4 linked regions of the Astyanax mexicanus genome follow. The protein of the gene in region 4 interacts with the protein of the main gene of each other region in a pairwise test. Links are inferred from orthologs where the notes say so. Each region holds a gene or a part of one and is shown on either strand. Other genes may lie near its edges. The genes, in order: stx6, plasma membrane ascorbate-dependent reductase CYBRD1, vamp4 and stx4.

The links.
Region 1: the proteins of stx4 (region 4) and stx6 interact in binary tests that used the Homo sapiens proteins (3 or more experiments, as listed by UniProt). The two-hybrid records come from large-scale screens. The link is inferred for Astyanax mexicanus from reciprocal best matches to the Homo sapiens genes STX4 and STX6.
Region 2: the proteins of stx4 (region 4) and plasma membrane ascorbate-dependent reductase CYBRD1 interact in binary tests that used the Homo sapiens proteins (3 or more experiments, as listed by UniProt). The two-hybrid records come from large-scale screens. The link is inferred for Astyanax mexicanus from reciprocal best matches to the Homo sapiens genes STX4 and CYBRD1.
Region 3: the proteins of stx4 (region 4) and vamp4 interact in binary tests that used the Homo sapiens proteins (3 or more experiments, as listed by UniProt). The two-hybrid records come from large-scale screens. The link is inferred for Astyanax mexicanus from reciprocal best matches to the Homo sapiens genes STX4 and VAMP4.

The regions. Positions count from the first base shown.
Region 1 is NC_064423.1:15,822,126-15,829,932, reverse strand, and holds the start of stx6 (syntaxin-6), read right to left. Parts: upstream 3,351-7,807; 5' UTR 3,173-3,350; coding exon 3,138-3,172; intron 828-3,137; coding exon 659-827; intron 561-658; coding exon 465-560; intron 299-464; coding exon 236-298; intron 1-235. Other genes in the region: ier5 (immediate early response gene 5 protein), read left to right, coding at 6,909-7,757. UniProt on the Homo sapiens protein: SNARE promoting movement of transport vesicles to target membranes. Targets endosomes to the trans-Golgi network, and may therefore function in retrograde trafficking.
Region 2 is NC_064418.1:30,821,381-30,829,487, reverse strand, and holds the start of plasma membrane ascorbate-dependent reductase CYBRD1, read right to left. Parts: upstream 3,660-8,107; 5' UTR 3,461-3,659; coding exon 3,265-3,460; intron 1,059-3,264; coding exon 850-1,058; intron 748-849; coding exon 593-747; intron 268-592; coding exon 21-267; 3' UTR 1-20. Other genes in the region: dcaf17 (DDB1- and CUL4-associated factor 17), read right to left, coding at 6,042-6,152, 6,275-6,433, 6,683-6,766, 6,933-7,020, 7,200-7,309. UniProt on the Homo sapiens protein: Plasma membrane reductase that uses cytoplasmic ascorbate as an electron donor to reduce extracellular Fe(3+) into Fe(2+).
Region 3 is NC_064408.1:62,580,547-62,589,380, forward strand, and holds the start of vamp4 (vesicle-associated membrane protein 4), read left to right. Parts: upstream 1-5,202; 5' UTR 5,203-5,397; exon of another isoform or gene 5,398-5,423; intron 5,424-8,031; exon of another isoform or gene 8,032-8,102; 5' UTR 8,103-8,176; coding exon 8,177-8,179; intron 8,180-8,834. UniProt on the Homo sapiens protein: Involved in the pathway that functions to remove an inhibitor (probably synaptotagmin-4) of calcium-triggered exocytosis during the maturation of secretory granules.
Region 4 is NC_064422.1:28,697,161-28,705,107, reverse strand, and holds the start of stx4 (syntaxin-4), read right to left. Parts: upstream 3,420-7,947; 5' UTR 3,236-3,419; coding exon 3,206-3,235; intron 3,142-3,205; exon of another isoform or gene 2,571-3,141; intron 1,184-2,570; coding exon 1,076-1,183; intron 582-1,075; coding exon 482-581; intron 73-481; coding exon 1-72. Other genes in the region: si:dkey-220f10.4 (tubby protein), read right to left, coding at 6,328-6,461, 7,225-7,396, 7,537-7,635, 7,807-7,921. UniProt on the Homo sapiens protein: Plasma membrane t-SNARE that mediates docking of transport vesicles. Necessary for the translocation of SLC2A4 from intracellular vesicles to the plasma membrane.

The sequences.
Region 1 (7,807 bases), on a different chromosome or scaffold from region 4:
TTTTTTTATTTATCTGATTCTTAAATTATTAATATGATTCTAGTCCACTGGAATATTCAGAGAAATTGGCTTGAATCACAACATTGTCATGGGTGGATGCAGTAAAGTACAGTGTTATAATATCCCTCATTTTTGATCTCTTAACTAATAATAACAAGATAATCAAACTACAATAGCCCACAATCCTATGGGAAAATAACTAAGTTGATAGACTTGTATAACTTGACATACATACCTGTCTGCTTTTCTTGTCTGTTATGGTGACAGCCATTGGGCTAGCCATGTGGTCTTTCATCTCCTACAAAAAAAGAAAAACATGATTAACATTGTTAATAACATTATATTATTCATATTGACAAATGATCAATGTAGTTGATAATATGACAATTTTAACTAAATCAGAGATATGCATACAGGTAATAATCACCATGAAAAACTTTTTAAAGAACCCAAAGTAAACTCACCCTGACAGTCTGTCTTGTGCTGGTGATGAAAGCTTTCCTTTTACTCAACTCTACCGCATCAAGATTGAACTTTCTTGGATTTGCTTCTACAATACTTGAAATTACTGTTAAGGCTTTGTTTAAAGTAGTATTAGGAGCATGAATAACAACAAATAAAAACATTGTTTTGATCTGAGAAGCATGATAAGGATATTAATAGTCTCATCCAAGTCTTCCAGGTCCCATTCTATAGACCTCAGGCTGTTCCTCAACTCATTGGTGGTCCAGTCTACCTCCTCCTTGGAGGCACCACCAGGATCCTGAAGAAGCTCACTCCATCTCTGGTGTAGACCTTGTGCAGTGTTCACAGCCTTCTGGACCTCTCTAAGCAAAGGGACATATTATTCCAGGTCAACATGAGGAATATTCAGAATAGTGAGAGTTACTGAGGTGGCTGTGAATGCTTGGCTTGTTAAAGCACATATCTAGCTGGCCAACTTAGGAAAATAACTTTATCCTAGATGTATTCTGAATAGCAATTTATGCATAGGCCTGTCACAATAATTACATTATTTGCTTGTCATACAATAGTAACTCAGTATTGACCACTGTGGATTCCTCAGCAAGAAGAGCATTACTATTAGTTTTATTTCTTTTGTTTGGGCAGAATGTTGACGTGGTGGGTAGCGCGGTCACCTACATTAAGACGACCTGGATTTAAATCCCAGCTGGAGCAACCAGGATCTTTCTGTGAAGAGAGTCCTGGTTACTTCCTACAGTCCAAAGACCACCGTTCAGGTAAACTGGAGATGTTTGAAATTGCCCCTAGGAATCACTGTTTTTACACTATTAACAAGGGTAAAAAAAAATTATTGGTAGAATTCCGAGGACCCTGACACTTTGAAAGTGCCCATCAGTCGACTTTTTAATGGCTTAATTTCAAGATGGCGGTGCCGAGAGTACTACCTAAAGGTTTTTTAAATAAACTATCTGCACTTTTAAAGTTTTCAGTGGCTCGTTTTAAATGTTAGGGTTCTCAGAATTCTACCAATGAAGTGTGGAGCTACTTTGAGCTCGATAATGGTGTAAAAGTAGCTAATTTCTTTGCATGAGCAACACTATGCTCCCATCTCTAACATTGTAAGCCTGTTTGGAGAACTGGCAAAAAGCAGTGTATTTTGGAACTCCGGGTAAACAAAGGTGGCCTATTTGCCAAAAGTTTGTACTTGTCATTATGTTTCACTACAACCCAAGTACATTTCACAACATTAAATAATGGGCATAAAATGTCTTGATCACAAAAGTATTATCGCAATCAATTGTGGGACAATATTGCTAAGTTTTTTTGTGACAGGGCTATTTATGCATAAATGTGGACATAATGCTGATACAAAGTATAGATACTATCGGGGTAATCTAAAACATGGGGTCTTACAAAAAATACGAAAAATAATTCTGTAATTGTTGGAGTGACTATTTCTACTAGATTTTATAGCAGTACTGTAAACATTAGTTTGCATTCAGCAACAAGAGCATTAGCTGGTGGCCCTGACTCTTCCACCAAAGAATTACATAAAACACTATCAATCCAGAGAACACAGTTCCACTGCACAATGCTGAAGTCTTTATACCCCTCTAGACCATACATGGTGCCTAATATTATCATGTTTATCACCTCCAGAATCCTATTATAGTGGCAAAACATTTCTACCCAATCTTCTACCAGTCTTCTACTGAGCATCAGCAGAAACCAATTCAGTCAGAACTTTTTGCTTATGTAAATAATTCAGCCTTGCGGTTTAGCCAAGATCCCTTATTTTTAATAACAGTGTAAACAATAAGACATTCAGTACTGATTTAACTAAGCTATTAGTTAAAAAACATGAATATTGTTACACCTCTTCCTTTAACCAACCTTTTCCTAGGTGCTTTATAACCCTTTGTCTGTGTTGTGCGTTATAGAGCAAACTCTGGACTAAAAACTTATTTGTTGATAAATGTGAAATAAGTATAATAAAGTATTGGGGAATTTAATATGAATTGGGGTTCTGTAGTGTTTGTGTATTAGCATTAGCCGGTTAAAAACAATGTCTGTCACTGGCAAAACACCATATTTCTGCGACAGTTTAATACAGCTTTGGATATTATGTTAGCTAACTAGCGTTAACTATGTTTTAACGCTGTAAGATACTGTAAAAATCTTATACACGTTAATAGTGTACATTTAAAGTACCTGCAAACACTTGGACATGTAACGTTAATGTATGTTACCTAAAGCCTGTTTGTATAGAGTTCTTAATAAAAAATGAATTAGCTATTATCCTATTACTATACAAAATTTAAACCAATCCAAAAAGCTAACGCTAGTTAGTAATGAATGCAGGCAGATAGCAGCTAGACTAACTAGCGTTAGCCTAATAGCAACCTAGTTTAAAGCATCATAACAAAGCAGTTAAGCTAGTTAGTTAGCGGACTAGCTAAGCTAACTAACGTGTGTAAAGAAAAATAATTTAGTACGGTACAAACATTTTCCTTCAAAGACACACTCCGGTAACTATATTAAATCTGTAATAAATCTGAGAAGACTGTAAAACAGAACTTCAGCATGGTCCATTGTTGTTAAGGCTGGGTCGTGTTAACATTAGCGTTAGCGTTAGCTAGCTCCGCTCTCTGAGAAAAGCTAACTCTACTCACCCTTTCACAACGAAAAACGGGTCTTCCATCGACATGGTGCTGCTCACAGTAAATGGCTCCTCTGGTATAAAGTCATGCTCCAGACCCCGGCGGCTGTGCCCGTGTCTGTGGCCGCTGTGAGAGCGCTGAGGGTTTAAGGTTTGTTTATGTGCGGGACTGAGCTGCGCCCTCCGCCATCACTCCCTCTACTCAATCCGGGGCAGAGGTCAGCAGAGCTGTGAAATCTGAAAAAACCATTGAAAATTAATTATGTTTTAATAAAGTAAAGTGCAAATAATATGTATTTATTTATAGAATGTTTGCATGTCTGTCTGTCTGTCTATCTGTAGTGGTATGAAAAAGTTTGGGCACCCCAGATAATTTTCATGATATTCCTTAATAAATCACTGGTTGTTCGGATCAGCAGTTCAGTTAAATATCATAAAGCAGACAAACACAGTGATATTTGAGAAGTAAAATGAAGTTTATAATATTTACAGAAAGTGTGCAATAATTATTTAACCAAAATTAGGTAAGTGCATAAAATTTGGCACCCATGTCATTTTATTGATCAGAATAAATAATTCAGTGCACTTTGCCCAAGGAGAGGCTGTATAGTAGAGTAATGCAAGATAAAGCCTTTTCTGCACACAGGCCACAAACAGAGTAGCTTGAGGTATGTTAAAGCACATTTGGACAAACCAGTTTCCTTTTGGAATAAGGTGCTGTAGACTGATGAAACTAAAATTGAATTATTTGGAGGGCAGTATGCATGGCGGAAAAAGAACAAAGCATTCCCAATCAAACACTTGCTGTCTACAGTAAAAAATTCCCAGGGCTGGATACTTCAATGAGAACACGTCCCTAAACTCTTCTCAATATTTACTAAGGTATTCATGCAGAGGAACACGTACAACATTCTGGAATGATCATCTCAGACAAGAATATTATGGAAAATCTGTGGTGTGATATAAAGTGGGCTGTCCATGCTCGGAAACCATCAAACCTGACTGAACTGGAGATGTTTTGTAAAGAAGAATGGTTCAAAACACCTTCAGCCAGGAGCCAGACTCTTTTATTGGAAGCTATTGAAAGTGTTCAGAGTGTTCATTTCTGCAAAAGAAGGATCTATTAAATATTGATGTACTTTTCTGTTGGGGGTGCAAAATTTATGCACCTACCTAATATTGTTTTAAAGAATTAATGCACACTTTCTGTAAATCCTATAAACTTAATTTTGCTTCTTAAATATCACTGTGTTCATCTGCTCTATGATATATTTAACTGAAATTGCTGATCTGAACAACCAATGACATATAAAGGAAAACATATATGTATATATCTATATGTCAGTACTTTTTGCCTAATCATTCCTGTGTTTAAAACAAGTCAGGACATGAATGTAGACCCATAACAGGCCCATTCACAGTCACACCGGTCCTGATGGTCACTGTTACCACCTCTGTCCGAATGCACTGCTGACTGCAGCACTTAAAATGCTTTAAATATTCATGAGGCTCATTCATTAGCTGGGATACCTACACCACAGTATCCCGGTAACATACACCACCGTGTCTCCTGTCTACGTGCAGTTAATTAAAAGGTCAGATCAAAATACACTTACAAAAAAAACTAACCATTTTGGTCTAAGCGTCTGTGAATAGATGTTCAACACGTATATTAAGTGTAGCTAATGATACACATGACTTAACAACACATCACTTCAGTTCATTTTCAATATAATGCCAGTGATATACAGTTGTGGTCAGTACAATAATAATTATCTTAACCTCACAGAAATGTAGCTGTAGTGTAGCAGTGATGACCCAACCTGGACAAACTGGGTGAATAACAGGGTATTTTTTTAGTCAATTGGCTTTACCAAATTCCCTAAATTTATCAATCGGCTTTAGCAAACTGCCAAAACTGATCAACTACTTTACCAAACTGCCAACACTGATCAATCAGCTTTACCAAACTGCCCAAACTCATTAAACAGATTACTAAACTCATCACACATATTTACCAAACTATCAAAACTCATCAAATGGCTTTGACAAACTGCTCAAACTCATCAATCAGTTTTACCAAACTGCTTAAATTGATCAATGGGCTTCAACAAACTGCCAACACTGGATAATCAGTTTTACCGAATTGCAAAAACTGATCAATTGGTCTTAACAAAATGCCAAAACTGATCAACCGACTTTACCAAACAGCCTAAACTAGTAAATCTGCTTTACCAAATTAAACCAGCTTTGTTGAATTGGTCAGGCTGAAAAACCAGTCCATTAACATTATGAAAAATACACTTATAATTGGCCAGAGCTGAGCTGATTAACCAGGGTATGTTTTCACCTGAATCACCAGCTTATTTTATTCGCCTTGACCAGTACATACCAGTCCAGACTATCTGAAATCAGCTGGGCTGTGTTTTTTAGCAGGGTTCTCACACTCTCCTCCACACACACTGTAAACACAAAACGTGTTACGTCACTCCCTGCTTTTCCCCGCGCGGTGTTTTGCGGGTTGTGACCTATATCGAGCACACAGTGGGAAAGATAACCTGGAATTGTTTACCAGAGGACCGCTGCGTATTTAAATGTATTAAGCCTTCGCGAGGCGTTCAGCTATTTCAGTCTGGTGTCACATTGGGCTTTAGCTGGGTCCTGAAACAAAACACCGCCTCCCCTCCCCCTCACTAACGGCTCCCATTCACATTTGCTCAGACACCGCAGAGGATTTGCACAATAGGACCACGTGACCCGCCTGTAGGAGACACAAACCATTACATCAGTCCAGGATGTTGGCTGAAAGCAAGGAGAGTTAAAGGGGACACGGCCATTTTTATTTAACAGCGGTCAAAAACAAGACATTGCACGCCTTAAAATAGCACAGTCTGTGAGATTTTACAAAGTGAGTTGTATTTTAAAAAGAAAACCACCATTTCACCGTTTTAGCTATATTTATGTTTGTAAGCATGATTTTAGACTCGTATCAGTCGTTTTATAAATGATAATACAGATCCTCAGTGTTTATAGCCACCATCAGAAGATAATTACAGTCTAAGAGCCCAAAAATACTGCTGTTAATTTTACACGTAATTTTTTTAGTTATTTAATTTTTCATTGATGTTTTTAGTAATAATTCGGTTGCTCAGCCTAAAAACATTTCGGTCTCTTTAAATTTTTCTCCCACGTTAGTATTTAAATATGACTAATCTGCATCCCGCGTTCCGATTGGTCCGCAGTGGTTTCGCGGGGCGTGGTTGACAGCGTCGGTGGCGTTCAGCGCGCGATGTGATTGGTCAGCGTAGCCGTTACGTCCGGGTATAAAAGCGGTCTAAATATAGAAACGGTCTCATTCCTCTCTAGGCTGTTGTTGGGTGAGAGAGACCGTACGGAAGGTAATGCAGGCTTATAGTATAACCCAATAACATAGAATTATCAGTATTACGTTCTTTAACCACAGAAATGTGGCGGTTGGTTTTATTTATCGTATCAAGTTGATAAAACGAGTAGAGAACCATATTTTTTCCTAAATTAGAGGAATTGTAAGGCTTCTTTTATTTTAAAATAGGTTTTATTTTCATTTAAAAACTACTTGAAGACCAAGTGAGTGTTTCTAAAGCTTGTTGGACCATTTCTTTTGACGTTTTTGGATGGACAATGTTTCAATGAGACTCACACTTGAAGGAGAACAAGCCTGCTGACAAGCCTTCTCTGACTGGAGCTGAACTTTGAAACTGCTTGTATTTATTTTGCTTCGAGTGTTCCTGAATCGAGCCTGACCATGGAGTATAAAGTGGAGGCCCATCGGATAATGAGTATCTCCCTGGGGAAAATTTACAACTCCCGGGTTCAACGAGGAGGCATCAAGCTCCACAAAAACCTCCTGGTGTCTCTGGTGCTCAGAAGTGCACGCCAAGTGTATCTGAGTGATTACTACAGTGGGGTTTGCCTCAACACCCAGCATGTTGAGGCCAAGGAGTGGGAGCTGATGGATTCCAACCAGGAGAAGCCACTCACTCCAGCCCCTGAGGAATCTCTGTCCCCATCAACTGACTGCAACCAGAATCCTGTGGTTCCAGAGGATCCTGAGGTTCAGCACACCAGCCAGGCTGTGGAAGACTCCACAGATCTCCACAGCGTCTACTCCAAACATCAGGCCGAAGAGGAGTCTTCCTCAGAGGATTCTACTACTGATGTTTCTCTCACATCTTCTCCTGTGACCTGTGAATCTCAATGTGAAGCTAAAGGAGCTGAAGTGAGTTCTTCGGACTGTGAGGCGGATGCTAACCCCGCCACGGTCACAGAAGGGAATTCACAGCAACCACCGAAAGCTCACTCTTGTTCAAACAGGAAGCGCACTGCTGAGAAGACAGCCAGCAATGACTCTCCTGTAAAACGGACAAAGGTGACTTCCTCAAACTCCTCTGAGGAGGAAGCGGAGGAGATGGACACGGGCAATGTCTCTAATCTCATCACAATCTTTGGCTCTAGTTTTTCAGGACTTTTAACCAAGGAGAGCTCTGAGCCTGAAGCAGAAACAGAAGACAGTGATTCAGGGTCAGGGCAGATCTGCTGTGACCAAATGCTAAAGAACCTGAACCCTTGGAGCACGGCCATCGTGGCCTTTTAAAAACCAATCACAGAACTTTGGTGGAAGTGTGGTTTTAAAAAAGGAAACCT
Region 2 (8,107 bases), on a different chromosome or scaffold from region 4:
TACACTGTTAATCTTGAATGTTACATTTTGCTCATTTTTCCACTATCTGTCTCTGCGTCTGTTCTCTCAGGCATTGCTGTGTTCGCACTGATTCCTGATGGTGTAGGCTCACTGTTGAGCTGCGAGCGGAGGAGCTGCTCATTGGGTCTCTTCCACGAAGGTCGAGTGGCTATCCAGAGGATAAGGCCTCCAAAAACACTTATCAGCAAGCCAAGGACATTCACAAATGTGGCTTCTGGTGGAGAATCTTTATATTTTGGGTCTTTCCTATGAGACAATTGGAAAAGAAAAACGTTTTAAATGCGTTGATAAAGTTAAATCCTTTTTTAAATTGGTAAAGAAACTGTATATTGCAAGTAAGAGTTCATCTCAAGGTCTTTCCTATAATGGTTCTATCTGTATCAGAACCATAAGTCATATAATAACTAATAACACGTTTTTAATGACATGGATCATATAAAGTGCCTAAACATTACTGATGACATAATTTCGGGTTGACCAGAATGGTGTTATTGAGTGTGGCCACAGTGGCAGGACACAAAGCACCAGTAATACTGGAATACTCATCAGCACAGTGTGTAAGCATACTTACAGGCCAAATATGAGCTTCTCAGTAATGCCCATTAGAGCAGCAGCAATCACACTAGTAAAGATGAATAGGCCGCTGTACACATGTAGAGGCATAAATGCAGCTCGTAAAGGTACTGGGCTTACAGGAAGGAGGTAGATGGCAATGCCCAGTACGATCTGTTCAATTGCAGCAAAAAACAAAAACAAAAAACAAATATATATAAGTGTTTGATTTATATTTGGAACTTATTAATGTGTGTAAATTCTGTAAATACTTACTTGTAATGAGTACAATATGACAGCAGTTAGCCCCACCCAGCTGTGCAGACTATACATGTTGGGAATGTTCTGAGTATTATGAAAGTCAAACACCGCTACCAGAGAAATAGCAGCCAGGATGAAGGCCAGCACATTTAGGCCTGCATGAATGAACTTCATCATCAGCTTACTGCACTTCCACGTCCATGGGAGCCTGTACACAACAATTGCTGGAAAAAAAAGAGCATAATCACTTTGATTTGTGTTCTGATTTAGTCGGACTCATCAAATAATACTTTCTTTTAGTGCTGGGTGATTTTTACGATTAATTCAGATGTAACTGTAATTCGAATCATGGAGTAATCACGATTTTACATACCGACATTTTATCTTTTAAAATTACACTCATTTCTGAAGTGTTTATCCATCTTACTTTGGTTACTGGCGCCTCCCATAGACCAACCCAAGTATATTTTCTAAACAGTCTGCTAACATTCCAAAAAAGCATATATTCAGCTAGAAATACGTTGTAACGCTTCTAAAAACTGCAGCCCCATCACTCTTCTGTGAGGATCCGTGATTAATTGTGAAAAATAATAATCTCTTCAGTGTTTCTTCAGTGACTCGTTTAGTGTATTATTTCTTAATACTTAATTTCGTATTTCTTCACCACTACCCTGCTTGTTGTAGTTTTTCCCTGCTGTAAAACACCCTTGTGGTATCAAGTGAAGTCTCATTACTTAGTGTATTATTTGAATAAGATGTGTTGAAATTCGGGGAACATCAGAGCATGACCAGAACTGCAAATCACTGCAATAGGAGGTTGCTAGGCTTACATTGTTAACAGACATTGCACATAGGCAGACTCCAAGCTAATCTCTGTATACACAAATATTTAGCAAATTGGCATGGGTAGACCTTATTCAGACATTTAAGATAAAAATGGAAAGGCTACTGAAAATAACTGTCCCACATTTCAGCCATCCATGTAGAGAGGTTTATTTTTGTGTTTATAAGTCATACTGTGTTCCAAACCACATCAAAGTGTCTGCACCAAACAAACAAAATGAACTTTTTCTAAACTGAGAGAATTTTGGTTAAGTGGCGTGTAAATGAAAGCAAACCTTTAGCATAAAAAATACTGGACAATAAATATGGGTAAATTATTCCCTGCTGCTTATACATGTGACAGTGGATTATGGACTGTTAAACTAAGACTACTGAAGAAAATAACTAAACTATACATTTAATATTCTAAAAGGCAGTATTGCTGATTATCATATTATTTAGCTTTCAGCTTTCTAACCCAGGCTGTCTGGTTCTCTGAAATACGCTTGAAACAGGAAGGAAGTTCTTCATTGCTCAGTGACTGAAGCTTTACTGGCAAAAACACTGACATTTTGGCTGTGCCTTTTACAATCTTTGACAGACATCTAAAAAACATCTTGCAGTAAAATTAAACCATTTCAGTATGTGACTTCATGCATATACCAGTCAGAATCATGATTAAACAGAGTTATACAAACCAAAACAACGGTCAATTTTTTCTAAGTAAATAAATAAATAGAAATCACATGTATTCTATACTGAAACTTTTATATCAAATTAAATGTAAATGGTAAACAATGGTAAAAAAAAGAAACTTATTAATAAACACTGTTTGCATCCCATGCTGCTAGCTTTTAGCTCTGTGCACTGCCATCATCATACTGATAATCATCATACTGATAATGACAGACACATATATACATAGAGTCTGCATAGCCTGATGGCAGGCTATGCAGACTCTATGTATATATGTCTACTGCAGAGTCAATGAAGCCTTATTTATGTTATTATCAGTACAATGACAGAGGCACAGGATGTAAACAGTGTCTTTTAATAAGCTTCTTGTGCACTTTTGAGGTTATTAATGCTTCATTTTAAATGTCAGAGCTCTCCGGATTCTACCAAGGAGGTGTGGAGCTAGTTTGAACCTGGATAATCTTATATAAAGCAGAGGTGGGCTATTCAACAAAGTTAAGTATTTTTCATCATATTTTCTTAGCTTACACCAAAGTTAATTTTACACCGGAGTTCTTATTTAACAAAGCAAATAAAGAATAGAGGTATTATTTATTTTTACTTTATTAGAGACATTTACTCCTGATTCCTTTAATTAATTATCTAAACAGCTCTGTGCAGCTATTCTGTTTAATCTTGGCAAACAGACGCCTTTACTTCAGGATTTCCATGAGAGATCATGTGACCTGAATTGGGTAAAGCTGCTGTTTCTCAACTGGATTTAAAAACTAGGAATGTAATTCAACACAGTGAGAAACTCAACAACAAGCGCTAGAGTTCTTAGCTACACTTCTACACATAACTGCAATAATAAAATACGGAACACAAAGCACTATTTCAACAGTTAAACTAAGTTTAACTCGAGTTTCTTACCGATTCCCTGAAGGAAAATGAAGCCGATGATAATCAGGAGCGGATGCCAGTTAAACTCCGCCGCTCCTCCGTCCCAGCCGAGCCCCTCTCGGAAGTGTAAAACCCATCTGAGGACGAACACGACCGAGACGAAGCCCAGCGAGAGGGCGAGGAGCAGCAGAGAGAGGAAAAGCCTGTAGTTCTCCATTGCTTCCATTTCCTCAGTACTGAGAGACAGCTCTAGACTCTCTCTGCAGGAATTTCGAGAGGTCACTCAGGGGGCTGGCTCCGTCTCAAGCAGCTCCTCCAACACAAACTTCTTCTGTTTTTTTACTCCACAGTCTCCGTTTTGTAACTTGCCACATCTACCATCATTACGCAATAAGACATAATGGTGAGATTCATCATCACATAACACCACACTACAAATACTAGACTAAAAAAACTCTCAATACTAAACACCCTTGTGTTGAGATTCAGTCCACTATACTAAACCTGACGTCACGGACATCTGTCCTACATTTAAAGGGGAACTGCAACAATATTATGCCCAGCAAACCTCCCTGCTAAAGCGACAACTACAGCTGCTTTTGAGATGGGAGTATTTTTGGCGGGAAAGTGGGTGCGGTTCAGACATGTATAAAGTAGAGAGACCAAGGCCCAGTCCCATTTTTCTTGTGCACCCCTACCATACCTGTTAAGATTTGGATTTAAAAATAAGGGAAATTTTCTGCTGCCCGCTTTGAGCTGCCCTCCAGGTTTAGTATTCCTTACATTTTACGATGCAAGAAATAAAAAATAACCACCTGTGAACCACTTACAAACTTTCTGGCAGGAATTCCTTCTCTCTCCTGGGTGGCAGTTCTTGTAAAGGCCCTGTCCCACTGCGATTGCATCTAAATATCCACTAAAGTATGTCCAAATTTCAGTGGACGCAGTTTAGTGGATATTTAGACGCAATCTGGACGTAGTTTAGTGGATATTTGGACGGCACCGTCCAAGTGGACGTAGTTTAGACGTTGCCGTCCACTTTAGACGCAAAAGTGGTTTTGGTACCTCCCAAAATTTTTGGAATAGACGGCGACTAATATGGACGTAATTTAGTGGATATTTAGACGCAGTACGGATGTATTTTAGTGGATATTTGGACGGCACGTACAGGTGGACGTCGACGTCCATAAAAATATTTTTCTGGCGTCCATCGCTTTACCATCAGCCGGTCATACAGTCCAAACTCCACCCGGCGTACAATCCAAGGCCTGACCCATACAGTCCTCTCCTGCTGCCGCCTCCTCCTCCTCCTGGTCTGGTCCAGCACATGGAGGAGTATGTTCTGCTGCTGCACAATCACTGCAAGGAATCTGTGGTCCATGGTTGTGTAGAAGAGAATAGATGTGCTCTCTCTTGTAGCTCAAGAAGAAATGATGATTCACTAGAAAAAACAACCATATATAGTTGGAAGTCGACGTCCAAAAAGTGGACGTCGAAGTACAAATTTGGAAGTCGGCGTCCAACTTCAATTTAGACGGAATATGGACGTAATTTGGACGCACTGCGTCTATATTTTGGACGCAGCGCGTTCACTCAGTGGACGCAGTGTTTTCTGATAAATTTGGACGTACTTTAGTGGATATTTAGACGCAATCGCAGTCGGACAGGGCCTTAAGGTTAGTGACATTTTAGTTTGGCGAGGCGCATGATTTAAAAAAAATAAAAAATAAAAATAGAATACGGGACAATACTATTAAGGGAGGACAGCAGGAAAGAGAGGTAAGATACGGTAGTTTCCCGGCCAAACGGGAGACTTGACAGGTATGACCCCTACCTCTTTTTTTAAGTACAAGGGTAAGGGGTGAAATCCTCCCCCTAAGAACTGGTACAAACCTTTAAGCACCCGGTATAGATATAGCTATACCCGGTATAGATTGTATGTCTTCAGTTCCTTAATTCCTCTTTGATGGGTAGCTGAAATGAGATTTTATTAACCTTTATTTTATTTTCATTTTCCATTCCCACAGTGCAGAGCATCTGGGTTTGGAATGAGCACAACAATGTATATCGTAGTAAAAGTATTAAACTCATTGAAAAATGCAGCTAAAAAGAAATTGGGAGAAAATAATACTTCAGTAGATACAGATTTTAGCATTTTAGTACTTACAGTACTGAAGTAGTTGTACTGTAAAATAGTGATTTCTTTGCATGGACTCTATGAACTTGTCGCTTGAATTGTGAGCCTATTGGGAGCATCGGCTTTAGGCACTGTATTTTAGAATGCTGGGATCAAACGGAGACGGGCTATTTGACAAATGTTCATACTCGTTATCATATTTTACTACACCTTTAGAATTATCCTTTAAACACTTGCATTTTTGACTGCAGTGCTTCAGCCAGTATGTCCTTTTTGCATCATGACATGCTCCATGACCAAAGACAATGTAAAAAAAAAAAAGAAAGTAAATATTGGCAATGCATTTAATAGCAAAATGTTAAGTCATTTCGATATTAAAGTGCTTGCATTTATATTTGAGATGGGTTAAAGTGACCCAAACCAGGCTAAAGCTATCATGTTACAAGAGGCCACCAGTTACTACTCCAGCAGCAACCAGCATGACAGAAATGTATGACCAAGAGAATAATTTGTCCACTCACACAAACTATCAGAAATTCAACGTTTAATTCAGTTTTAATAAAACATTAAGGCATGTGGTCTTTAAAATTCTGCAAAATGAAAATAAAAATAAATACAAAAATAATTTCTAAGATCTAGGTAACATCTAAAAAAGTGGCATGTGGCCTGGTCAACTAGACTTTCGGTTCATCTTATAAACATGGCAACAGAAGCTGTTATTCCTCTCTTGCTCAATGTGAATAACTGTGTCTCTGTCAAGGTAGACTTCATGACTGTAGGTCTGAAAGAAAGAAAGAAACTTTTTTTGGGAAAAATTGCTCTGGAGAAAAACAAATAAATTTAATTATTTTTAGATAAAATAAATAAACCTTAAAAAACAAAAAAAAAATATGATCTACTCACTACATCCCATGGCTCATTAAGGGTAATTCTCTTCATCAATCCTCCACTTTTGTTGTCATAAAGTCGAACACTAGCCTGTCCCACATCCTCTGCAGTAGGACTTACATCCACAATGGCCAACAAATCAAGCTCATCTTCATACTTAGCCATCTTAAATGTCTAAAGATATCAGAGAAAATAAGTACATAATACACATAATGTCAGAGGACACAGTACTAGTGGCCTTGGTGACAAAATGAGGCTATATTGCCTAAATAAATAAAAATATGAAAAAAGGCAATATTAAAAACAATCTTTAAAAATCTGAAGATTTTTTTTAAATAATAAACTATTGTTAACTAGTGTGCAAAAATATCTTTTTTTTTTTTGCATGTTTATATGTATAAAAAAAGGGGGGCCCCCAATTACCTCTTGTTCAGGATCATCATCCAGTTGCTGAAATCTTCTCTTAACAGTACGACCAGAGGAGGTCACTGTCACTTTTGAGGTGGCCTGCATGAAATATGCAGAAAGAATTAACATTTTATAAATTGTCATGCACAGAGTAGATCATTAAGTACCGTAAAGTCCGGTTGGTGTCCATTGTTCATGGTCAGTGTGGGTGTGAAAATGGTAAGTGTTGTTACGGAAATTAAGCAGACAGTAAAGAATGACTTACACTTCTGTCTCGAGAAGTAATGATGGAGAAATCATGGATCACTTCATAGTTCGTGTCAACCTCTTTTCCTTCTATTATCTTGAGAACACTTTAGAGAAAACCATAACAAAATATTAATAATAGAACACTGAAAGAAAACGATCACTTAGAAATATAATTGCACTATAATAATCTAATTTATTGCCCTACTACAAATCTTTCATGTTAATATATGTATATGTGCATATGTGTGTAATTCAATATGGAATATATTTTTAGGAGCCTCACTTTATGGTGCTAGGCCCAGCATGGATGATCCTTCCTGAATCATCAGGGTGAAAAAAGATCCAATCTGCCTCCAGCGAGTCACATTTCATGTCCTGCACGCCATTCTTTGCCTGTTTCAAAGGAAGCCGACCGAGTGGAACATATGTTTATCACATTTTAATAAATAACAGATGTTGGGAAATAAAACCATGTTTTTAATTTTCCAACAAATCATAAGATACTTCAGTGCTTTCATTTTTATTTTAATCAACACATTTGATCTGACTGCTCTATCCATCTCTGTCAGCACTCACAGTTGGGGCCTTCTGCAGAGCCTGTGGTACCTGTAGACAATTCTCCACAATTACTGTCAAACACACCTGCCTGCCACTGGTAGTGACATGCTTGGAGAGCTCTCTATTATTTATTCCTTCTGGTTGCACTGCTGCAATAGTACAAAGCTTCAATGGATATGTTTTATATAATCTTAAAATAAATATTTTTATGTATTAGACAGATTAACTGTTTATTTGAATCTGCAAGAAGCACTATGGACTTTTTTACATGGTTAACACTAACTTTCACACAGTTCTTTTCAGGAATTTGAGGGTTTTTTACACCTGTAAAAATGTTTGTTACATTTTATACAGTTGATCTTGTTAGTTTCTCTTCCATACTGCAGTTTTAGTGAGTAAAGAACTTTCCCACATCATCACCTATATAGGCAACATAAATTGGTTTGTGAAAGTGCATGCAAAACCAGTGTGTTGCCAGTTTGGCAAATTGCTTTTCCAGGTGTTGAGCTGAATCCTGACTTTATTTATGAAATAAGGGTTAATATAGAGTTATAGTAGACATATAAATGACAAATGTACGTGTTTACCCTCAAACTGCTATATGATATTGTTTAAATTCTGATGATAGCTTGC
Region 3 (8,834 bases), on a different chromosome or scaffold from region 4:
AGGTGTGCATGCGTGCGTGTTGTTTGTGATAAATGATCCTGTGTTTTCCTTTGCTGATGCTCTGGGGGCTTTAACAGGCTGTACAGGCACATCTGGGGCTCATCAGTCACAGGTTTGGGCAGTTTTCCTGCAGCACTGCATCCCCCGCTTCTGTCGTTTATAACCCTGAAATGCACTCCCCACCTCTCACCACCAGCTACCCCACACTCCCCTATAACACCAACTATCCTAACCCTCCTCTGCCTCCAAAGAAAACACCCAGCCATAGAGAAGTCTACAAATTCCTAACCTCAGACCTTCACCATCCTTCAGCTCAAAGTGCTCAAAGCCTTGGGAGGTCTGCTTATACCATCAGAAAGGAAGGACAATTCAACACCATTCAACTTATGCAATACATTCCATATTTTTTATTTTATTAAGTTTCTAAAATTTTGATAAACAATATTTAGAAATTACAGAGATTTTTACAGTGATTAATTAGTGAGTAATTAGACCATTAACAGGTGAACAGGAGACTATGATTTCTGAATGTATAGAGAGGCAGTGGAATCTTTAAGACCAAATAGAAAAATATAAACTGTACCAGTCAAAAGTTTCAACACCCCTTCTCATTCAATGTTTTATTATTTCCCTGCATTGTAAACAAATACTGAAGTCATCCAAAGTATGAAGGAACACATAAGGAATCATCCAGTAAACGTAAACGAGTTCAAATAGTAAATGAATAATGACCCAAAACATATTGCAAAAGCAGCTGCAACAGATCTAAAGCAAAGAAACACAATGGCTGATCCAGTCACTTGACTGAGCATGCTGGTCAAGACACACAAACAAGCAAATGCTAAAAGAGACTGTAGTGAACGCTGAACAAAACATCTCAAGAAAAGATTCTCAGCATTTGCTGATATCATGGGATCCTGACTTTGTGTAGGATTACTGCACATTTTCTGCATCCATGTATAAAAAATCCTGCATATAACATTATTTTAAGCAATAAATAGTTAAGCATAAATATTTAATTCTAACATTGTAAAGTATGTTCGAGTTTGAGTATGTTTAATTCATTTTTGAATCTTAATTAATGCTAAAATTCTAACTTTCAATCACACCATGACAGCTTAACAGTTAAATTTGTAAACCCATAAAGGTGGTTTTCAGAGTCAACAGTGCAAAAGAAACATGTAGCTGTCCAACTATTATTGGATCAGAGTGTGTATCTGTTCGTCCAATGCACCAATGCTTTGAAGAGGCTTTATTATATATGTTGTAAATGACTGGGTTCTAAATGAATTACTGTTCTCTCAAAACGTATTACAAATACACCTGAAATCTGTGAGAAATTAAGGTCTTGTACAATTATTAAGTAAGCAATAGAGTAATAGATTAAGAAGGAGTAACCTGAGGAAATATTCAAGACTCTACACGTTCTACACGTGTTATTTTTACTCATACCTAAAAACTCATTGTCATGACATGATTTGCCAAATACTTCTCTGAAGGGGTTCAGAATCTTCAGAATACCTCATCAGTCAATACGAGGCACAACATAGCTGTGCAATTCATTCTAATGCATAGTTAGAGTCAATGTAGAGAATTTTAGAGGAAGACAGAAAGGTCTTTCCATTATTTGCATCTCTCTCAGTGTAGTCTCCCAGGATTGAGCAGGTGACACAACTGACAAGACTGGAACTCACTTCATCCTGTATACGCTGAAGGTCACCGTAATTTATACTCTTCTAGCTTTGTCCATCCATCTTCCCTTCTCAACAAGACTTTGAAGTTAACAACCAAAATGGACCAAGGCAGCTATGCAAAGAACATATTTTTGACAGCTTTAGCACTGCTGTACACATGCATATGGGAACATCTACACACCTGTATATGTGTGTATATGCAGTATCCTTACATACAGCATAAACATTTACTACAAACCACAACAGAGGATAAAAACTATTAAAAAATGATTACTAATCTTCATGTGATAAAACTGAACTTTTCCAGAGCTTCGTCAAGTGCTTTCTCGAGGACACACAATCTCATCTTTTCACTCAGCCAAGCACTTCCCACTCCCAGGAGGAGCTTTCTGCTTTAGCAATCATCCTCATCAGTGTGTGGAAAATATTCCAGACTCGCTCGCTAAACTATTTCTCCGAAGAGCCGCTGCATTATGTTTCTCTTGTTTATTTGTTTCTGATTTCACGTGGTTTCATGTGTGTAAATCTTTTTAAAGGCTTTTTTTCTGTTTGCTTTGAGAATTTTTATCTCTGCGATGCTCTTCTATGGTCCCAGCCAAGTTCTGCTCGTATATCACAAATATGTAGTTCAAGGTAACAAGGTGAAGAACTTTTGCCCCCGTGACATCCACTGAGAAAATGAAGCAATTGATTTACCAGATTTAATTTTACAAAATGTTGCAACTTATTAATTGGAATCTTAACAGTGGTATTTGTTACTATTCAACATAGATAATAGATAATAAAAATGTTTGTGGAAATAAATTTATTTATTTATTTTTTGTTTCTAAATGTTCCAATTTTTCTATCAAATTTGGAATGCCAATTACCTTATCCCTGGTAATATGAACTCTACCTATCACCAGTAATGCCCTCAACACTAAGAGAGGCACATGCCTCCTCTGATTCATGAAGTTACTCACCGCCTCGTTTCAAAATGGTGCTGATACAGCATCACTAGATAGCCAGATAAGACCAGCGTTCTTATCTGTTCCCGAGTTCTGATACATCAGCTAACACACACCTGTGCTGACCAACATTACACTATGAGATCTGAGGAGGAAACACCATAAACCCTGGAAGAGTAAGACACTTTGTGTCCTAATGTCATAAGATATGATCTGAGATTTGAACAGACAATCCTCTAATCATAGTGACAGCGCCCTAGTCCAGCACCTCGGAATTGCTTTTTAATAGTATTCATGAAATGATTTAATAAGATTTTTTTTTTCACTAAGAACAGATATGATACACATATAATGGTACAAACAACAATTTGTCTTTTTTTTCTTTGTATTTAAAGTATTTCATCCTTATGAGCTTGTTTGACATCCATTTCAATAATTATGGGCGATCGATATGAAGGTAGAAAATTGGAAACAAACAAAAACAAATGTGTGAAACATTACCTTTCACTGCAATTAAGAGGGAAAACAGCAGCCCCAAGACCATTAATAGTATCCCTGGTACACTAAACTCTGGTTGGCTCTAGGCAGTCTGGTAAGTATTGTTCTCCTGGCATCTGCCAAACTCCTAAGTTCTCCTGGCATCCCAGAATCCCTGATACTGACTCCTGATTCATTTGTGAAATTGTGAAAGTGAGTGCAGGGTTCAGTGAGCGAGAGACATTCTTTTCACACATGGATCGGGCTGCTTGAACTCCATTGAAATAACTTTTGTAACGATTCAGAAGCTTTTGGAAACGATGCCACAGTGAATGCATGCCATAGTCAAAGCTAAAAGTGGTATTTATAGTGTGTGACCTTTATTTGACCAGGTAGTGTATAAAGCAACTGTCAAATATACTGCCCATATACAGTTTTTTAATTGTGATTTTTATAACAGTGTCTGGAACCCATGAAAACATTAAGGTGTCCGTACAAAAATATGAAGGAATTGCATCATGTAACCATAAGCTGTTTCTAAATTGTATTTGTTATATAGTACACTAATTTGGGATTCTGCCATTTTGTACTGGTGTTTGAAAACAAAGTTTTTAACTGTACCAATCTTACAATGCACTGTGATATATAGTGTACAGAACCAGACATGGAATACCCGTAATTATGAATTAATAATAAATAATCAAATCTTGGGTTAAAGAGTGCATTGCAGACTTTCCAAGAAACACTAGATTGTTCAGATTGTTGCATAACACTGCCCTTATCACACACATAATAACAATATTTTATACACCACTACAAAATAGTGTAACCCAAAAGTAGTGCCCTACAAATATGTAGGCCGCACATTGGGACGATTGAAAATTGGAAATTGACATGTTTAGCCCTTTAAAGCAGCTGATTATACAGTACTAATTAGTAGAATGCTAACCTGTAATGGTTAAATACAGTTATGTAAACTGTCTATTTTACAAACAATTAAGTCTGTGTGTTCTAGTTAGAGCACAAGTACCAAACCATCCCTTGTAATTAACGGTGTCACCGGTATTCACATGCATTACTCTGGTAGAAGTATAGATACTAGGGTTTAAAAATAATTCTGTAGAAGTTAAAGTATCAACTCAAGCTTTTTACTCTTGTAAAAGTTTAAAAGTACTGGTTTCAAAACTATTTAAAAATAATTTACGGGGGAAAATGCCATTAAGGACAAAAGCTGAGGATGTGCCACAGGAGCCTATAGTATAGTACCCCCAAATTTTTTAAAGCCATAATGGCTGTAATGTTACATTAAAATGTTAACGTTGAAACTTTGGGGATGCACTAGGCTGCCTGTTTCAGCCACATAAAGGCCCATTTCAATGAATGAATTTGGTACAATATAAATATATTAAAGAATCATACTAGGCTACACAAGTCTGCTAGATTCTTGCTGGAGTCTGGGCGTGATGTGTGCAGGTGAGGTGGATTGTGAATAGACCAATAGGATGTCGAAATGGTATGTGTTTATACTTCTTAACCAACCACAATCATAATCACTCATAATCACATTTATCTGGAGATTTATCTGGTTCGTTTTTTACAGAATGAAAACAAACTAAAACAAGGTTTTTTTAAAAATGTAAAAAAGTAGAAATTACAGATAATTGTTAAAAAAGTAAGGATTAGAAGTGAAAAGTTGTACTTCATTACTTGACACCTCTGCTTGTAATTTGAGTATACATATTTATGTGTGCTAATATCTAACCCTTATTTCCAGTATGAAAGAGGAAATTGTTTTTTTTTTCAATCAATGAAAACAAAACATAATACACATCAAATAAAATTTCATATAAAAATGATAAACATATTCTCTTGAGTGTACACAATGCATACATATTGTTGGGGGGTATACATAAATATAATGATTTAACAGTTGTAATAGTTGTACTGTTTTACAGAGGGCTGTTACAGAGGGGAGTTTAATATAATATTTTAACTCTTTTTAAAAGACCACAAAAATCCTGATGTATAACTACAGCATTGTGAACCAAATCACAGCCCAGCTGTTTGACTTCCTGGTCATCAGAGGTGGAGCGGAAGAGAAGAGAACATCACTGCAATATACACATACACATCCTCACAGCCCTGCTGCCGAGAGGCTCTTCTCTTCTCTTCCACTGACACACACACAGACCACTTCCAGGATCCTTAGATCCTCAGTGGTGTGAGTCGTGGCTGCAGTACAGAAGAGCACTGCACCCCACAGGACCAGCACAGCCCAGGTAGAAGAGGATCTGTGTCTGTTGAGGTGTGTGGAGGCCTGTGTGTCTCTGTGTAGAAGACAGCAGTGCCTGTGTCACTGTCTCATCACTGCATGATGTTCTCCTGATATTTTAGTGTAGCTAAGCTAGCTAGCTACTTGTCTCGGTTACGCTATTAACTAACAACCCGCTAGCTAAATAACTGTCTATCTAACGTAACTTATCCAGTTTAGCTAACTGGTTTAGCTAGTCTAAACCAGACAGTCTGACCGGCTCAGCTAGCCACACAGCTAACCAGCTAGCAGAATCATTTAGCTAGCGTTAGCTAGGCTAAGCTAAACTAAGCTAGTTAGCTAGGAGGCTTCGGAAGCTAATATTAACAACAGTAGCAGCTTCGTGCTGCTAGATAATATTTATTTCTGATAATTTAGATGGAAATGTCCTGTGTAAATATGACGTGGTGCTGTCATGTCTTAGTTTTTTTTTTTTACATTTGTCTTGTAAAAGTCGGCGTTTCTGCTTAGGTTTAGCTCATTAGCTAGATTAGCTAACGTTAGTTAACTGGCACCTAACAGTTACATTGTGTGATAATAGCTTAGCTATCGTAGCTCAGTGTTTCTCAACCCTGGTTCATAAGGCCTAGTCTAGTAAGTTCCTTTCTTTAATCCACATTCTTTAACTCAATAATGAAATGTTAAGAAGCTAATGATCTGTATCAGGTGTTTTGGTAGCAGGGAAAACAGTAACTGTTAGCTAAACAGTGCAGGACAGTGAACCTCCAGGACCAGGCTCGAGAAGAAATACTGAGAGAGCTTAACTACCTAACCCTAGCTAACCTAATGTTAATGTAACGTTAACTGAAATCTCTGTGTTTTATTCTCTGACAGATGTATTTATGCAGAAAGCTGCGTTTAAAACAGGTTATTTAGCTGACCGGTTGAATCATCATCATCATCTTAGTTGTCGTTTCCCTATTCAGTCATATGACTCAGTGGCTGATTAGATTAGCAGTTCTAGAAATGTAAAGGGGGTCATGGCACACATTCTCAGCTCTCAGCTCCATTCTCTCTTGTGGGGATGCTTCTGGTTCTGACTAGTTCATGCAGATGTGTTTATCAGGCAGATATTTACTTGCTTCACTTGCTTGATGCTATCCCCTGTCTGATAAAAACAGACAAACAAAAATAAACCCTCTTTGGAGTTTAGTACTGATTTGGTTTTGTGATTGATGAGATGACTGTGGCCCAAAAAGGGGTGGGCAATAAGGCCCTAAAATAATATCACAATATTTCATGGTATTTTTGCGATAATACTTTTGTTGATATGACAAGATTGACAAAAAATATTTCAAGGATTAAAGTAAAATAAATGATACTGGACAGATATAATCTGTCGGGAGATATAATAGTAAATGAGAAGAGTGTGAATTTTTCTTTTGCTAAAAACAGCAAAGAAAGTAGTCCCCTGATGTGATAAATAGGGGTGGGTGATGGCTCGATATTTCAGGGTATAGTATCGTTCACAATATTTAAAAATGTTGGCGATATTATTGCATACGATATGATGTGGCACACAACTACTGCCCAAGCCAAGTCTTTGTGTTACTGGTTATGTGGATATGTCTAAAGGAGTAACAATTTATAGGCATATAGAATTCACTGCTATTCTATATTATGTATCATAAAAATATTCACCTTACATTGTACCTAAGCAGTCTAGTACTGTATTGTGTGCCATTTTCGTAAAGAAAAGAGACAAAAAAGAATGTTATGATTTATATTACAAGTTAAATGTTATAATTGATGTTTCATGTCATTTATAATTGCACATTTACAGCCTAAACCGTTTACAGATGATGCAACTATGGCCTGGATATATGTACACTATATGTCCAAATGTTTGTGGACACACACACACACACACACACACACACACACACACACACACACACACACACACACACACACACACACACACACACAAGTTGTCTCTGTCATGCAAAATGTATTGCCAATAAAATAAAAATCTCTACAGCAGACAAACATGAATGGCATAATGGCACCATATCTAATACCATGAGTGGGCTAGAAGGAAACATAGCCTCCAGAATAAAGCAGTGGTTCTTTTTTTTGTTTTTTGAAAAACCCTGAGGGAGGCACAAAATTAATGAACAGGTGTCCCATTACTTTTGTCCATATAGTGTCAATTGATGAACCCCTACTGGTGTCACCATTTCAGTGTTATTTGCAAATGCAGTGCTTTCAGTGTTGGGTGAACTGATTACTGTGTGCAGTGCGGGGGTCAGCAGAGTTTATCTGATTGCCCTTTAGAAGGTTCTGCATCGTCTGTTTGTCTGTCCCACTTACATTTTATGTCCAATCCACATGACCAATTCATGTTTTGTACATCAGTTTACTATTTTATGCCAATAATGTTTTTTTCTCCGTTCATTCTATTGGAAAATTATAATGGCACCCTTGTTTGACAGATCTGGCAACTGAAATGAATTTTACATACGTTTATGGTCATTGTGGATTCTTGCCTGCTGCTTTCTTTTTATCTGTCTCTCTCATATTTCCCGTTATCTTTATCCCAACCGTCTTTCCCCCTTTTTCTGTTTCCTTTTTCCTCTCTCTCTTTTTTTTTTTTTGCTAGAGCTGCTTATCCCTAACCCCTCTTCTCCTCCTCTGCTGATTTGTGGATCGTTCCGCCGTGCTTGTGGCCAGGAGAAAACCTGTTTTCCGACTACTTTTCCAGCACATCAAGCAGAAAGCAGTCTCAGAGAGAGGACAGTGACTCAATGGTATCAGACCCCTATCCTAAATTTGGATTGTGTCTGTGGTTGTGTGGGAAAGAGAGAGAGAGAGTGAGAAAAGTGAAAGAACTTCTCTATGGCTTAAACTGCATAAAAAATGTGAAGAATTAAAAATTAACTAAATAAATATACCTCCCAACCAGTAAATATGTCCATCATTGTTTCAAGTATTTTTTTCAGAAATAATTATGATTAAGCTGTTTCATAGAGCCAGGCTAAATATGAGAAATTATATTTAAAAAAACATTGCATCAATGAGTAGGTCATGAATTTGAACTAACTTTAAAATCTTGGTATTGTTTCACAAACTTGTAATAGGTAAGAAATTATGTCTCTGCCATTTTCACTCTGGGCTAAAGAGCTGCAGGTGCACAAGATGGGCAGTATGGTAATGATTTATTGCATCGTGATACTGAAAAGACTCGTTTGGTCTTGTAATATTATTTTACAGTCAGTCCACATGCTTCTTTGACACATGCTTCTTAGATACTAGTTATGTTTTTCTCGCATTTCATAAAGAATTTCAGTTACAAGTATGAGATGTCACATCAGAGTGTAAGATTTTTTTTTTTAAAAACTAGTCCCCGGCTCTTTACATATTTATTACAGGCCCCTTATGGCAGTTAAAGCTGCAAGATCGGAG
Region 4 (7,947 bases):
TCAGTTTTTTGTGGATCTGTCCGGCCAGTACTTTGATCTCATCCCTTAGGACTTGAAGTTCCCTTTTCATATCTGAAATTAAATACATAGGATTAGGATTATTGGTAACAGTAATGAACAGTATGTCAGAATGTCTCAACTAATTATTATTTTCATTATTACAATCCTTATTTTTTTTTTATCAATCAGTATATATATATATATATATATATATATATATATATATATATATATATATATATATAAATATATTTTTCAAACATTCTTAAGCATTCTAATTCTGTTTATGTAATATCTTAACGTAATAATGTCTTAACTAGTGTTAAATAATAATTTGTTGAGACATTAAGTAACAATTTAACAATGTTTATTACTGTCATAAGTACAGTTATTTGTGACCCTCATTGTAAAGTGTTACTGGAATAGATACACAAATAATAGGCTGAAATTATATTAAATAAGAAATTATAGAGATATTAACTGTCATCTGGCAGTGCCACCCCTAAAACAGTTTTCTGTTTGTTCTCCAGTTCAGCCACTTTCTTCTTAAGAGTTTCAAGGCCTTCTCGGATCTCTTGGACCTGTAGAGCAAGATTAACAATATTAGGATGGAAAGTTGTAAAATTAAAAAAAAAAAAAAAAAAAAAAAAAAATTTAAAAATTAAAAAGCCAAAGCAGTTCATACTGTTGAACAAGAAGATTCGCTTATTTATTCATATTGTCATGTTCTCACTTCTAGACAAATAAATAAACAAGTCCTCTTGTTGTGGACACTTTTTTGGCTTTTTCACTGATGTATTTGTTTGGGTCCTGCACCTGTGTTTTATTGCACACTTGTAAACTTTTAACCATAACTGAACTAAAACCTCTATTTTATTAGTACTGAGATTATAATAAATAAAATCACATTTCACTTAAAACTCTAACTGATAATTAAGATGAAATTAATTAAATGTGAGACTGTTGTAACAATGCGTTTGTTTGGTTTATCTTAACTGACAGAGAAAGAGTTACATGTGCTCTTTGCTTACCATTTGTGTTAAATACATGTGCTAAAATGTTTTACAAGCTTTACCTTTCTGAAGAAAGCCTCATTATCTTTATCTTCCTTTCCAGAGTTTCCAGTGCCTGGTTTTATCATGAGGGCTGTGCCTTCTTCATCTTCATCTGAACCCTCTGCAGGCTATGTGGACATGGAAATGTATGAGGTAAAGAAGAGCTACAGATTAGTTCCCTTATTTTAATGTTTACAGCAACAAATGACCAAGTAAATGAACTAAACACTTAAAATATAGTACTATATATAAACAGATATGAGGTAAATAAGAAGGCTACAAAGGGCATTATCTCTGTATGCTCTAACAATTTTGGCAACAATAAAATGTTAACAAGTGTAAGAATACAGTTTTATGCATTTTTTAGACATGTCTTCTGACATGGTTAAGAAACACTATGATCAATGTCCATCCACAACACCCTGTACCCCTAGGAGGGTTTTGTACTATATATTACGTCTCCTTCTTTATCACACACAATGCTAACAGCAACACTGATTCAGCAAAAACCTGCCCCACACTCGCGCTATAAACACGCCCCAAAACACCATACAACAATAAATATATACAGCTGTATACAAAAACATCAACATAGCCTCTGCACAATGCTGCACACGTGTATGCAATTCCAGAGTGCCAGATTGCATTGAGCATTTTCATGATCAAACACACCTGATTCAACACATGTTATGTGCCAGGGTTAGCAGATCTGTAAAGCAGATGGTTAGCAAACTGTGCAAGAATCTGGCAACCTACCACTGCCACTGCACAGGAGGTTTTCTTTTTTTTTTGACAAATCTCAAACCTGGATAACCAAATCAGTCCCTAGGCCTTTGACCAACTGTCATTCAGAACAGTCACTTAAAATATATTTCCAAGCTTTAGAAATTATCTCTTAAGACTAACCTTAAGACTAACATTTAGCAAACATGTTTTTTTTTCTAGACCACTGTCCAAAGATTTAAAAATGAAAGTAAATGCCCACAAGCAGAAAAAATATACTAGAAAAGTTCAGTTTGTGGTTTGTACAGTGCAGGCTTTGGCAGTTCAGTGGAACAGTGGAGGTTGAGATCTGCTCACATGCAGGTCTGTAAGTGCTAAAACCTGCACAAAGGAAAAAGTGGTGAAGCTGTTGTTGAAAAAAATGCTGCATCTCATGAACAACAACAACAGCATAGTGTACATATGCGAGTAGTGGTTGTGTGTGTGCAGGTGTGTAATTGTTGTGTAATTATTGTGAATCCAAATACATTTTTATTTTCCAAAAAAAATAAATAATAATTAAATAATAATATAATAATTAATAAAAAGAATCTTAAAAATTCAACATATTTTACCTGATGTGTACTAGCTTTATTTAACATATTTAACTACAATTTAAAATGTGTTTAGGCTATACATGCTAGCTTTTTAGTAGAATACTAAAGATTTTTGTTCCCCTTCAGAAAACCAGATAGTTAAATGTACACTGCACAAGAGTGTTTATACAGCTACAATTATATACAAATTACTCACAGGCTGTGGAGGTTTTCCTGTTAAGCAAATAAAATCCTTGGTCCCAAAACATTCTAGGTTAAAACGGATGTGGAAATTCTGTGGCAGCTCTTAGATTTCCTTTCCTCTTAAAAAATCATGTATATGTGTGTGACAGACCTGGATATGCTTGAACACGAGCAAAATAACTAATCAAAAAGAACAGAAAATCAGAGTAACAGCAGGTTAGTGATCTTCAGAGAACCGTAAAATACACTCCACTCATTTAGGTTAGCTAACTAACCCACATACTAGCCTGCCAGAGTAACTATCTTGTTAGCTTAGCTAGCTTGCTAGATAGCTTTTTAGCTAGCTAACTACTTAGATAGTTTGCTACATTCTAATACATTTCTGCACAGCTAAATATTTTAATATAGTTGTCGTTTAAGATTTTTAACGAGGATAATACCCCATAGTTACATAAATATGTTATAATGTCACATTAGCTGCAATGTTGTTTAGCCAGCTAATGCTACATGACAGCAGAGCTAGCTAGCCTCCAGCTAACCTGCTAAGTCCACTAGCGCTAGGCTCCCTGAGTTTAGCTCTCTGACGGGCTCCAGTAGTTTCAGCAGGGCTGCAGTGAAAAGTTTAAGCTAATCAGTTAGTTAACTCACGTTTCCCAGTTCTTTGGTTCGGTCTCGCATCGTTGCTCCTTGTTTAAACCCTCTCTACAGACTCGGGCTCTTCATCTAACGCACTAACTTTGTTGACATCAACAACAGAAGAAGGGAGTTTCCATTCAAAGTCAAAAAGAAACGGCTCTTCCTCAGTGTGTGACACAGCCACCATTAAAGGCACACCATCTCCACCTACTGAGAGCCCTGCCCTCACGCCCTAAACCCTCATAAAGGTCAGCATACAATAATACTGTAACACTTCAGTTTCTGAATCAGTTTCTCTGATTTATCTCCCAAATTCCGAATAAGAATATTGTCATTAGGAGCATTTATTTGCAGAAAATGAGAAATGTCTGAAATAACAAAAAAAGATGCAGAGCTTTCAAACCTTAAATGATGCAGAGAAAACAAGTAACTATTCTTAAAGTTTTAAAAGAAAAAAAAATCATCAAAAATGGTTTTTAATTACAGTTTTCAGGCATCTTGGCATGTTCTCCACCTCCAGTCTTACACACTGCTTTTGGATAACGTTATGCCACTCCTGATGCTAAAATTCAAGCAGTTCAACTTACTTTGATGGCTTGTGAGTATCCATCTTCCTCTTGATTATATTACAGAGTTTTTTTTAATTTGGTAAAATCAAAGAAACCCATCATTTTTTATTTTAGTCTTTTATTTTTTTCCAGAGCTTTATAATATAACCTTCCTTTTGTGTCCGCAGCATAGTTCTTTAAATGTCATATAGACACTGTGTATTAATACTTTCCCAAGATTTAACTTTAAAGCACTCTTTGTACATTTTGTACAATGCGTGGCCATGACTTATAAAGGAGTGGGAATAAAATAATTAAGTCTGCATGGACAAAAGTTATTAAAACTTGGAAACAAGATCCTAATGCGTGGCCACAATTTTTCAAGTCACGGCCATAGTCGTGGTCATCTTTTTTTTTATACATGATGTCACCTTAGGGGCTCTGTAGTTTTTCTATGCGAGTTGTTTTGCCATATCCAGAGTGCTGCCAGGAATCATTAATTTAGGGGTTAAATAACATATTTATGAAAAATGTAGTAATTAATAATAAAAATATATCAAGCTATTTAAACATGGCCAAAAATTGCCTGTCCACCCTGTCATATTGGGATAACCAGCTCCCTAAAAAAGTAACATTTGACATCTGTGACATCACAAACTTCACACTGTTTTATTTCTGCAAATACTTTGTATTACAAAAAAAACTTTGTATTAACTTATCATAAAATGTATAGTGTAAATGACAGTTTAAATAAACATATTAAAACGTGTTAACTAGTTAACAAAAAACAAGAAAAATGTAGAAGGTCTTGTTCTGGCAGTGTCAAAATTCTGTTTTTAGAGCTAGTATATAATCAAACAGCTGTTAAATTACTTTACTTTACTTTCATTGAAGTTAAGAATGTTTTATCTCTCTTCTGTAACATTGCTGTTTTGAAGATGCACGTTTTTCCTTGAACAGCAATGATATACCGTATTTTTCGGACTATAAGGCGCACCGTATTATAAGACGCACTATCAAAGAACGCCTATTTTCTGCTATTTTTCCATACATAGGGCGCATCGCATTATAAGGCGCGTTAAGTGACACTAGAAAGGGTGCCTATATCAAAGTGAACAGGGGTGGCGCCATGTTTCCCTTCCCCCACCGGGGGTGGTCGCTTGCCGGTGGAGCGTCTCAGTATATATAAATCTAGCTCTTTCAAAGTCAAACGAGTGCTGGATATTAATCTACACAGATTCCTCTCCTGAAAACTGTTTTTTTGGGTGAGTAACGTGCTTCAGTTTATTTACAGTAAGCTTAGATTTCCAGATGTCCACTAAGGCTTGCTGCACCAGCGTTAGCATAGCTATCCGCTAGCACGCTAGCTAGTCACCTAAACTAGTAAAGTTAACCCAAACTTAAACGACAGCGTTACACTGAGTAATCCTGCATGTTCTGGTAAGACAGTGAGATATTAGCTAGCGATTCGTCCCCCGTAGCTTGTTTTAACACTGTAAACAAGCAGATTACAGGCTGATAAAACTCACCTCTGAGAGAGTTAGCGCTTAGCATCTAGCTAATGCTAGCCAGGCAAAGCAGCACAGACTTACAGGCCGATAACTCACCTCTGAACGGTGAACGCTTAGCGATTAGCATCTAACTCTAATAATACTGCTCCAGCAGTATTAAAAGTGCTAAATTTAGAAAATACTGATCTCTGAACAGTGAAAAAGCTAGCTAGCTAAGCGGTTAGCATCTAGCTAATGCTATTGCTGCTCTGCACGGAGTGTGTGTTTACTGCTCCTTACACCTGACGGGTAAAATTTAGATAATACTGATCTCTGAACAGTGAATAAGCTAGCTAATGCTATTTGCTGCTCCAGCCTCGGAGCTGCACGGCTCTGGACTCTGTATAGCACTGAAACTCTGTATAACGCTGCACGGAGTGTGTGTTTACTGCTCCTTACAACCTGACGAGTAAAATTTAGATAATACTGATCTCACTGAATAAGCTAGCTAGCTTAGCGGTTAGCATCTAGCTAATGCTATTGCTGCTCAGCCTCGGAGCTGCACGGCTCTGGACTCTGTATAGCACTGAAACTCTCTATAACGCTGCACGGAGTGTGTGTTTACTGCTCCTTACAACCTGACGAGTAAAATCCATACAAAAGGCGCACCGTATTATAAGACGCACTGTCAATTTTTGTGAAAATTAAAAGTTTTTAAGTGCGCCTTATAGTCCGAAAAATACGGTACACGGTTTATTTAATCTTACAAAAATCATACGAGACGTATTCTCTTTAATACATGATTTTTTTTATTATTATTTTTCAAACACCGGTAAAGTAATTATTTTTATGGAATGACATGTCATAACATAAAAAAATAAGAAAATACAAATGTGAGTATAACCCATAACTATTGTAGCTTATGCTTATTGCACATTATTTTTGCTGCCTCCAAAACTTGCTGACAATAAATATATATTTTGTCCAAGAATACATGAGAACTTCTGCTACTGAAGTTCTCCAAAGGCCATAAGTCCCCAGATGTGGTGCCTTCTAGTAGCCTAAATAGCACATTCATACAACGAAAGCCGTGAGTTCATTCACAAGCCAGTTTTCCATCAAATGAGGACAGAGTGATGGCAAATGCTTGCAGAGCACACATGGGGAAGCTGTAGTCCATGGAGAAAACATCCTCTGCCACTCTTCCAAACTGCATTACAATGTACTCCTCTGGACAACACAGAAGAGAGAAACAAATATTACAGGCTTATTTTACAAACATCTGATAACTCTTTTTACATTCATGAAAAAAACATTATCATGGCCAGGTTTCAGTGTCTTTTCAAAGTGCCTCATGGTGAGCATTTATATCCTGTCCTTGCTGTGGAGCAACACACTGCCCCAAGTGTTAGTGTGATTATCTGATGAGCCATTGAACAGTCAGACACCCCAGTAGTGATATAAAGAGAACTATCAGCTTATCAATATGTGCAGAACATCCTGCAGCCACATGTGTTGTGGAGGGTTTCCAACAGGTATTTTTCAGCAGGATAATGCTCACCCACACACTGCAAGGGTTTCCCAGGAAAGTCTCTGCCAGATTACAACAATTCCTGGGAATTTCTGGATATAGCCTCTTTTTTCAACTGTGGTTTTGTAGCCTTTAGCTTGCTAAGCAGAATAAGGTAGGTAAAGGTAAAACTTGTTAATAGATGCTCAGTAAAAACACAACTTATATGTCATAAGTTTGAAAAAACAAAAAAAATATTCTTCTAGGTTTGAAACCATTAATACATTAAGTCAGTAATTTGTGCTGCAAAACTCAATCTCACACCTTGAGGGCTCATGTCACACTTCACTTAATCTAAAATAGTAATGGAACGTTCCTTAAGGTTGCCTCTGGGTTCCCCCACATGTAAACTGATGCAACGTCTATAAAGGTTTGTTTAAACAGTATTAGAACATGCAGAATGTGTGTGTTTCCCCTACTAACCGTTATCAGGATGAACAATCTGGAAGTTCTTCACAGATGCCTGTGTCACTCGGCCATGGAAATTGAGCACATACGATTGAGTCTGCTCGTTCCAGCTGGGTGACTTATTCACCAGACACACCAGATTCTCCTTATTTCCATTTTCATAACGAGTGAGGAGAGATTCGATATCCTGCGAGAGTGAAGAATTAAAGAGAGGCTGAAGAAGTGAGATCAGGTGCCCACAAAGAAACAGTAAGGGAGACTGAGAGTGAGGAAGAATGAAAGTGAAATGGAATTATACAGGGCAGATTTACAGAAAACATTACTTACGCTTTTTGGACGAATACTGACTCTTTCGTCATTCTCATGCATGCCAGGAATGATCACTGTCATTTTCCTGGGGCCTTTAAAGCCCAGAATGTTTTTCTCCTGTTTGATGGGGAATAATGACAGTGACAAATAAAATGGAAGTAAAAAGAGTAATTACTGCATCCTGTAATTCAGTATACATTAAATAATGTTTTTTTCTTTTTATTATATGTTTTTAAGTATTATAATAAAATATTGACCACAAAGTTCCTTATGACATGTTTAACTTACATAGCATATTGCTGCAAGCTCTTGCCGAAGTGATTCACTTTCCTTAATAAACTGCTTCCTTTCTGGGTTTTCTCCATTATCATATACAGTGAATTTAGTCCCTAAAACATTTGACCTGCAATGAGAAAAAATCAATCATTA